Danio rerio: one gene and its partner. The protein of the gene in region 1 purifies or fractionates together with the protein of each later gene. This does not show direct contact. Links are inferred from orthologs where the notes say so. Each region holds a gene or a part of one and is shown on either strand. Other genes may lie near its edges.

Region 1 (3,852 bases):
TTGGCTCAAAATTGGCTTTGAAGAACTCTACAAAATAGAATTATTTAAGAGTTGGCTTAAAATTGGCTTTTGAGAGTATACAAAATGGAGTTATTTAAGAGTTGGCTTAAAGTTAGCACTGAAGATTACACAAAATAGAATTATTTTAAAGTTGGCTTAACATTGTCTTTGAAGGGTATGCAAATAAAATTATTTAAGTTTTGTCTTAAAATTGGCTTTTGAGAGTATATAAAATAGAGTTATTTAAGAGTTGGCTTAAAGTTAGCAATGACAAATTCATTCATTCATTCATTCATTTTCTTGTCGGCTTAGTCCCTTTATTAATCCGGGGTCGCCACAGCGGAATGAACCACCAACTTATCCAGCAAGTTTTTACGCAGCGGATGCCCTTCCAGCCGCAACCCATCTCTGGGAAACATCCACACACACACTTACACACTCAGTCTGAGCTCTGAGGGGTACGTTAAGTCTCCGGCAGGCGAGAATCTAGCCGGAACTGGCCCGAGTGTGTTTTGCTATCTGGGTGGTTAGGCGTGTATCAGCAAACTAATAAAGCCCGAAAAAAGCCCTGACCTTAGCGAATATACAGTGTTCCACCAGGATCATGTATGTCAGAAACTATAGTTTACTGCTGAACTCATTTTGTCATGGTAAAATAACACAGAAATCGAATAATAACACTTCAGTCTCCTGCCGAAGCTCAGACGCGCTGCTTTGAGTAACTGTCAATCACAGCTGTCAATCACGATGACACGCCCAGCATTAAATTACTGCTAAAAACAAACTGTTTACAAAAATGAAGATCTGCACCTATTTCAGCACAATAACCAGTGCCTTTATCGACCAGAACCATCTTTCGGGACATTTTATTGCAAGTGTAATACATTTTTTTTATTTGGGCTCAAGTCTCCTACATTAACACGGAGGAGGCGGGCTTTATGACTTGTACTGCAGCCAGCCCCCAGGGGGCGATCTAACGGCTGAGACCTTCACTCAAACGCAGGCTTGCGGCACACTTGCTTTGGACTGTGGGGGAAACCGGAGCACCCGGAGGAAACCCACGCGAAGGCAGGGAGAACATGCAAACTCCACACAGAAACGCCAACTGAGCCGAGGTTCGAACCAGCGACCCAGCGACCTTCTTGCTGTGAGGCGACAGCACTACCTACTGCTCCACTGCAATGAAAAATATACAGAATAAAATTATTTAAGTGTTGTCTTAAAATTGTCTAAAAAGTATACAAAATAGAGTTATTTAAGAGTTAAATTAAAATTGTCCTTAAAGAGTTTACAAAATAGAATTATTTAAGAGTTAAATTAAAATTGTCTTTGAAGAGTATGCAAATAAAATTATGTAAGTGTTGTCTTAAATTTGTCTTTGAAGAGTATGCAAAATTGAATTATTTTTATTTTTAAGTGTAATTTTTTTTATTTAAACAATGAATATATTCAAGCATTTTTTGTTATGCTCTATGCACAAGTAGATTCTTGGCCCTGTAACATTAAAATCAGAGCAGCTGTCAGTAGTTGTCTGTCCAATGGCAGCGTCACATCAGTGTGTTCTGACCACAGACGTCTCAGCCGGTGGCAATGGCAGACCTGCAGCATTTCTGGAGGCCGACAGACTGCACAGAGCTCGTATAGAGGTGCAGGACAGTCCCGTTCACAGCAGGTGCGGCCAAAACATGCACATGACGGAGCTACGGGGAGAGCCGATGTCGGAAATGTAAATTCACTACACTGTTCTACTCATAGATTATACATGTGCACTGCAAAAAACACTGTTCTTACTTGGAGTTTCTGTCTTGTTTCTAGTCCAAATATCTAAAAGTTTTTTAAATCAACAAACATTTTTTAGACAAGCCAAAAATACTGTCTACAGTATCGCGTGGCATTGCTTTTATTTAAATCATGGTTTAAACCACGGAGGGTCAAACATTCTGCACCTTTAATAATTTTTAGATATGTGGACTATAATCAAAGTCTAAGTACGAAAGCCTTTTTTGCAGTGTGTTGAATGCATGAGGAGACAGATGACACTGTGCTGATGCTTCAGTCCTGCAGGCCTCGCAGAAGCACAGGTGATGTATCGTGAGCATGACATGATGAAGCCCATGAAGAAGAGGAAGAGGAGGGAATACAACAGCCCATCAGAGGACGACTCTGATGCCGAACCAATGGTGCACTTCTGCTAATTAATTCAGGCCTTCCTAGCGGGCACCTTGATGTCAAAATGACATCAAAAACATGCAAATTTAACACTTTACTTGTGGTTTTGTTATTTTGGTGGTCAAAAGAGCATCAGTCAAGGTTTTGACATCAAAACATTTTGCATTTTTGATGAGTTTTAGAAACCTAGGCTCATTCGAGATACATGCCCAGGGCTACAGTTTTGGGAACAGTTAAATGTGTGCCCGGGGCTATGTCTGCTGGTGTTTTTTTCACTAATCCACTAAAGGCCGCCATGTATATTTTTGACAATCTAAAATACATTACTGGGGCACTTTTTTTCATACGTGTCATTTACATATCCTTCTTGTGCACTTCCATGATAAAATGTCCTGTTTTTTTTAACCTGGTTTCTGGAACCGAACTCAAACCCTGGTGTACTCCACATGCCAAGTCCTACACCATACAAGGTAAGCTACTGAGCAAACTGATCGTGCAGGTAGCTTGAAAAGTAACAGAAGATTTCTGCGCCATCATACCGTCCAGTAGAGTTCGTATGCCAGGACATGTATTTGCAGGTTTCCAATAATGTAGCTCTGGGCACATATTCCCAACGAGCCTGTGTTGTTGTTTCTTAATTTTGTATTGATATCAAGGTTCGCACTGGGTTTGCTGTGCATTTAAATGATCTTGTTTTTCAAGATTGTTCTCCATTCTAATGCAACAAAATGCTCTCTTTTCATTTAAGGACGAGAAATCTGAGGCTTTGAAAATTGATGGCAGACAGATCAAAACAGGTACTTCATGACAGTCCACGAAACATTGTAATAGTTACATTAAACCATCACATAACTTTGCAATTTGTATTTATTAAATGGATAGTTCACCAAAACATAAACATTTGTTTAGTATTTACTCTCCCTCAAGTGGTTTAAAAATGTATAAGATTTATTCTTCTGTTGAACACAAAATGAGATTTAATGAATGTTGAAAACCTGTAACCATTGACTTCCACAGTATTTGTTTGTCCTACTATGCTAAGTGAGTGGTTTAAAGGTTTCTCCTTCTTTTGTGTTTAACAGAAGAACCTCATAAAGGTTTGAATAAGTAAAGGGTGTGAAAATGATGACAGAATTTTTAGTTTTGTATGAATTATCTCTATTGTTACATATAAGTAGCTTAACATATTAGCTTTTATTTCTGAAAATGTGCATGACTCTATTAGTATATCCAGATTTACTGAAATGAACAATGCCAATGTATGGACAGATTGTGCAAAGATTTGTGAATGAGCATACATTTTAAAATGTTACCGTGTTTTTATTCTATTATAACAGTTTATTATAACAAATTATATCATTTAAAAGACTTTATTAATGAATTAATGAATTCCAAAGCACTTATGAAACATATATATATATATATATATATATATATATATATATATATATATATATATATATATATATATATATATATATATATATATATATATATATTAGTGCTGTCAATCGATAAAAAAAAATTAACTAATTAATCGCACCTTTTTAAAAAAAATTTATCGCGATTAATCGCATGATCACGTTCATCAAATTTGCTAAGCTTCCTAAACTAAGCGTCCTAAAGTATTACTGTATTTCATAAGGATTCTGACACAACAACGCGAAGCATACGCTTTCGTTG
Region 2 (4,435 bases), on another chromosome or scaffold:
TCTGATTCACGCATGCAAATTCATCTTCAGATAGTGTCTTTATAGCAATGTGCGTGCAGTAGATCGCTCAGATTACATTGGGAAAACAGGCGACTGCTGCAAATTGTGCTTTAATGTTTGGCTGGTCAACTGTATGGTATGGAAACCTTATATACCTGCTGAACCCGTCTCATACAGCTCCCATTGCAAGGCTTAGACACTTTGTAGAGAAGAATTTAACACAACTGCCTCTAGGAGTCGCCAATGGAAATAAAACAGACACGCACAAAAAATGTGCGTACGCCAGCCAGAAAGCTGCCGTGAAGCTGCGCACATTCCCACGTTCAGTTCATTGTTAGTAAATCCAAACGTGAGCGATTCTGAGCGTGAAACCTGGCGTACGCAAAGTTTTTGTGCGTACGCAGCGTTGATACATGAGGCCCCAGGTGATTTTACAAGAGAGTTAAAGGTAAAGGCCTACAAGTCTTTGGATGCCTACAACGTTGTTCTGTGTGGTCATGTGCTAGAAATAATGATCCATGATTACCAGATTCAAAACTATGTAGTGCTAAAAACCGAGGTTCTGCCTAGCCAAAGACAAGGAAAGAAGACGGAGCTGTACAGGGCCTGGGTAATCATCAACAAGCAAAACTACTGCATTCTGACAGCGAACTTCACCTGTACGGCAGAGTATGTGAATGCACATGTTTACATTTCATTCTAAGCATTCAATGTCCGCAGTTAAATTCACCATATATAACCGATTTTGCTGAAATCATTGCTGCAATCAAAAACGAGTAATGTGTATAATTCATAATAGCGTGAACTTACCTGATAGGAAATGAGAACTGCAGAGTCACGCATTTTTAATTAGGTCCTCACTCCATTCAGCTCTTATAATGGCTGTTAGCCAATAACATCTGCGGTTAAAAGCAGTGTGGTGTACAGTAAAAGTTACGTTTTCTATTTTTGGACTTACAAATTTGGTATCCTATTGCACAAATCGACATGTTTGCTATTGCAGCTGGTCCTTTTTTGCAACCACTATGCGCGGTTAAACCCTTGTGACGTAAGTTGGTAATTCCCCTATAGTGCATGTGTTTGGACGGTGGGGAAACCAGAGCACCCGGAGGAAACCCACGCCAACATGAGGAGAACATGCAAACTCCACATATAAATGCCAACTGACCCAGCCGAAGCTTGAACCAGCGACCTTCTTGCCGTGAGGTGACACTGAGCCACTGTGTTGTCCCAAATAATAATACAACATATATAAATAAATACAATAACAAAAATGAACAAATAAAATAAATAATAAACAAAGCAAAATAAGTAGCAGGGCAGTTGAAGCCCACAAATTAATTATCTTTTATCTCTCTTATTGTCTTCAAATATATCACAATTTTTTGAATTTTTGGGGAAATCTTGAAACATGTACATTTATGAATATCAAATATCAACAAAATATTTAGAATATAAAATAACCCCAAAAAAACCCCGCGTAAAACCTGCCTGCTTTCACGCGCTTCCTGGACGCAGCTCTCCGATTGGTCAGACACCCGGACGTGCGTCACGGGATAACAACATGTCCGCGTTCATTTGAAACAGAATAGTGTGCTCGGTTTGCTTTTCACCGCATACTTTGATGAGTTTGTACGTTTCTCCAAGTGAGCAGGAGATTGCAGAGGGAGAAGCATCTGTTAAAGGGAAGGACCGCACTCCAGGACTGGAAGATCGACTATTTGTTATTATCAGGTGAATATCGGAGCGGATGTTGCTAACTTAGCTGTAGCGCCGCGGCTAATGCTGACAGCATGACAGACCGGGTTTATCATGAAGTTTTACATATAATTATCATCAGAAAAAGAGCTCATGTACAGTGTTATCTATGTTTTTACTTACTGATTTATTGAAAGGGTTAATCGCACATCATAAATATATCTGCTAACGTTATTTGGCGAACGATAATGAATTGAATTGTCTCTTAATGTCGTATTTTTTAACGTTACTTATGAAATTGCGTGAACAGTTGATGTGCAAGTACATACTGACAGATATTGAGCTAAATTAGGGTTTATATTCAGACTTTTACCATTTCAATATAATTTTCAGAAAAGTATTCTTTGGTAATTCTCAAAAGGGAAATTACATTAGCTGCCAATGTCTATCAGTACATCATTGTTACTGATGTCTTTGCATTGTCTTCTATCCATCAGTGACAGTATATCTTTTTAAATCAGATTCATTTACAACATTTGGTTGAAACATTTAGTTTCAGTTTGCTGTTTTGTAGTTTAACATTAAAACAAACTACCCCCAAAAAAACTGCCTCTCTTCTATAAATGGATGGGGGGCCACCTTTTGCCTGCGGGCCCTAGTTTGGGCATCTCTGATATAGGGACCGTGTTCAAAATCTTCTGAACTGAACAAATGTGCGAGTATAAACTTTACATCAGTCTGATAGATTGACAAAAGTAACCCTAATATATGACAGACATATATGTGACAGATATTTGAGCAGACAGGCTGTGCAGGCATGAATATTTGGCAGTATATTTTTTGTAATGTATTGTAATAATGATTATATATGTACAGTTGTATAAAATATATTATCCCACCTACGAAATGAATAATTTTCCAATCAAGTGTTGTTAAACGGGGTAAAAATCTTTTTAAAACTTTTTTTCCCCTATCATAATAGTTTTAATAGCTAATTTTTTTGTTTTTGTTGTGATGACTGCATATTATTTTAGTAGTTATTTTGTAACAGTATTATTCAGCTTAAACTGCAATTTAAAGGCTTAACTGCGTTAATTAGGTTAACTAGGCAAATCACTGGATAACCATGGTTTATTCTGTAGACCAGTGGTCACCAAACTTGTTCCTGGAGGGCCGGTGTCCTGCAGATTTTACCTCCAACCCTAATCAAACACACCTGAACAAGCTAATCAAGGTCTTACTAGGTATACTTGAATCATCCAGGCAGGTGTGTTGAGGAAGTTGGAGCTAGACCCTGCAGGGACACCGGCCCTCCAGGACCGAGATTGGTGACCCCTGCTGTAGACAATCAAATTTTAGTTTTGTAATGTGGCTAAAGTTTTTACATTAAGAAAAGATGTGTATTTTCAATCCAGCCGAACTAAAAGGAATACGACTTTCTTCAGATGGAAAGTTCTTGCTCTGTTAAACATCACTTGGAAAATGTTTTAAATATATAATAAAATTTTCTTATTGGAACTATAGTCAACATTTGAAGCAGATCAGCAAAGTTAATCCAAGTTGTCCTAAAACAAGGGTAGGTATTGTTTAATCCACATTTTGATAGCTTTATTAAAAAAGGAAACAAAAATGAATATACAGTTGGGGAAAATAAGCATTGAACACATCCTGTTTTTTTCCTAGTAATAATATTTCTAAAGGAGCTGTTGACATGGAATTGAAGTAGATTTTGATTATAACCCAAATAATACAAACATAAAAATTAAACAAAACAATCTGATAAATGAGTTATCTGTAATAACAATGAAATGACACAAGGAGAAAGTGCTGAACTACTGAAATGTATTTAATGCTTTATATAAAGATGTTTTAGTGATGGCAGCTTAAAGACGTCTCTCATATGGAAAATAAAGTCGCATGCATTGCTCAGGTGTGAGTTTTCTCACAGACTTCAACAGAGTGTGAAATTCTTGATGGTTCTGTGGGTCTCGATTGTCAAATCTGACCTTTTTTCTGTATTTTCTATCGGATTCAAGTCAGGTGATTGGCTGGGCCATTCTACAGCTTGATTTTCTTTCTCTGAAAGCATTTGAGAGTTTCTCAGCTGTGTTTTGGATCATTGTCTTGCTGAAATGTCCACCCTGGGGTCCGTTCTTCGTACCTCGCTTAAATGATCTAAGATGATTTGGCAGATCCTGGATCTTTTAATCTTGATATCTGATCTCTCGCTAATTTGGTTCTTCAAACAAGTTCGCGAATCAGATTAGAATGTCTGGATGAACTGATCTGAGATCGCTGCGTGTGTTATGAAGGACAGATCTATCGATCCTCGAAATCATGATCAGCAATGCAACGATTGGCTGACGGCACAGCAGCGTAATGACATCATCTGATTAATATTCAATTATCCATGTGAGCAAAATTACATCAAATTAGCAGTAAACGGTTTGTGAAATATGACACGCAAGGACTTTCCACATTTGTTATGAGCTGCTTTACACTTTCATTTGTCAGGACAAGAGTATTCATCATGTATTTCCATGCAAATCAATGTATTTAGTTCTTCATTTAGAAAAGATTTTCTTTATTATAGTAGCAGTTTTTTTAATCGGTGTAAAGAATAACTGGTTGTTTACAAAAGCATTTTCATATTGGTAAAGGTGTCTGCAACTTTTGTGAAGCATCAAATCACTGGCATATTAACTGTCAAAACATGTTTATGACTGCATTAATGTAT

What was found. Proteins that work in one complex are often made in the same cells at the same time.
Region 2: the proteins of l3mbtl1 (region 1) and anapc1 purify together in Homo sapiens (affinity purification with mass spectrometry; 4 studies listed by BioGRID and IntAct, counting the BioPlex papers as one, with this or other methods). This does not show direct contact. The link is inferred for Danio rerio from reciprocal best matches to the Homo sapiens genes L3MBTL1 and ANAPC1.

Annotation. Positions count from the first base shown.
Region 1 is NC_133198.1:4,293,695-4,297,546, forward strand, and holds part of l3mbtl1 (lethal(3)malignant brain tumor-like protein 1), read left to right. Parts: intron 1-1,572; coding exon 1,573-1,726; intron 1,727-2,056; coding exon 2,057-2,180; intron 2,181-2,917; coding exon 2,918-2,966; intron 2,967-3,852. UniProt on the Homo sapiens protein: Polycomb group (PcG) protein that specifically recognizes and binds mono- and dimethyllysine residues on target proteins, thereby acting as a 'reader' of a network of post-translational modifications.
Region 2 is NC_133188.1:50,698,453-50,702,887, forward strand, and holds the start of anapc1 (anaphase-promoting complex subunit 1), read left to right. Parts: upstream 1-1,551; 5' UTR 1,552-1,734; intron 1,735-4,435. UniProt on the Homo sapiens protein: Component of the anaphase promoting complex/cyclosome (APC/C), a cell cycle-regulated E3 ubiquitin ligase that controls progression through mitosis and the G1 phase of the cell cycle.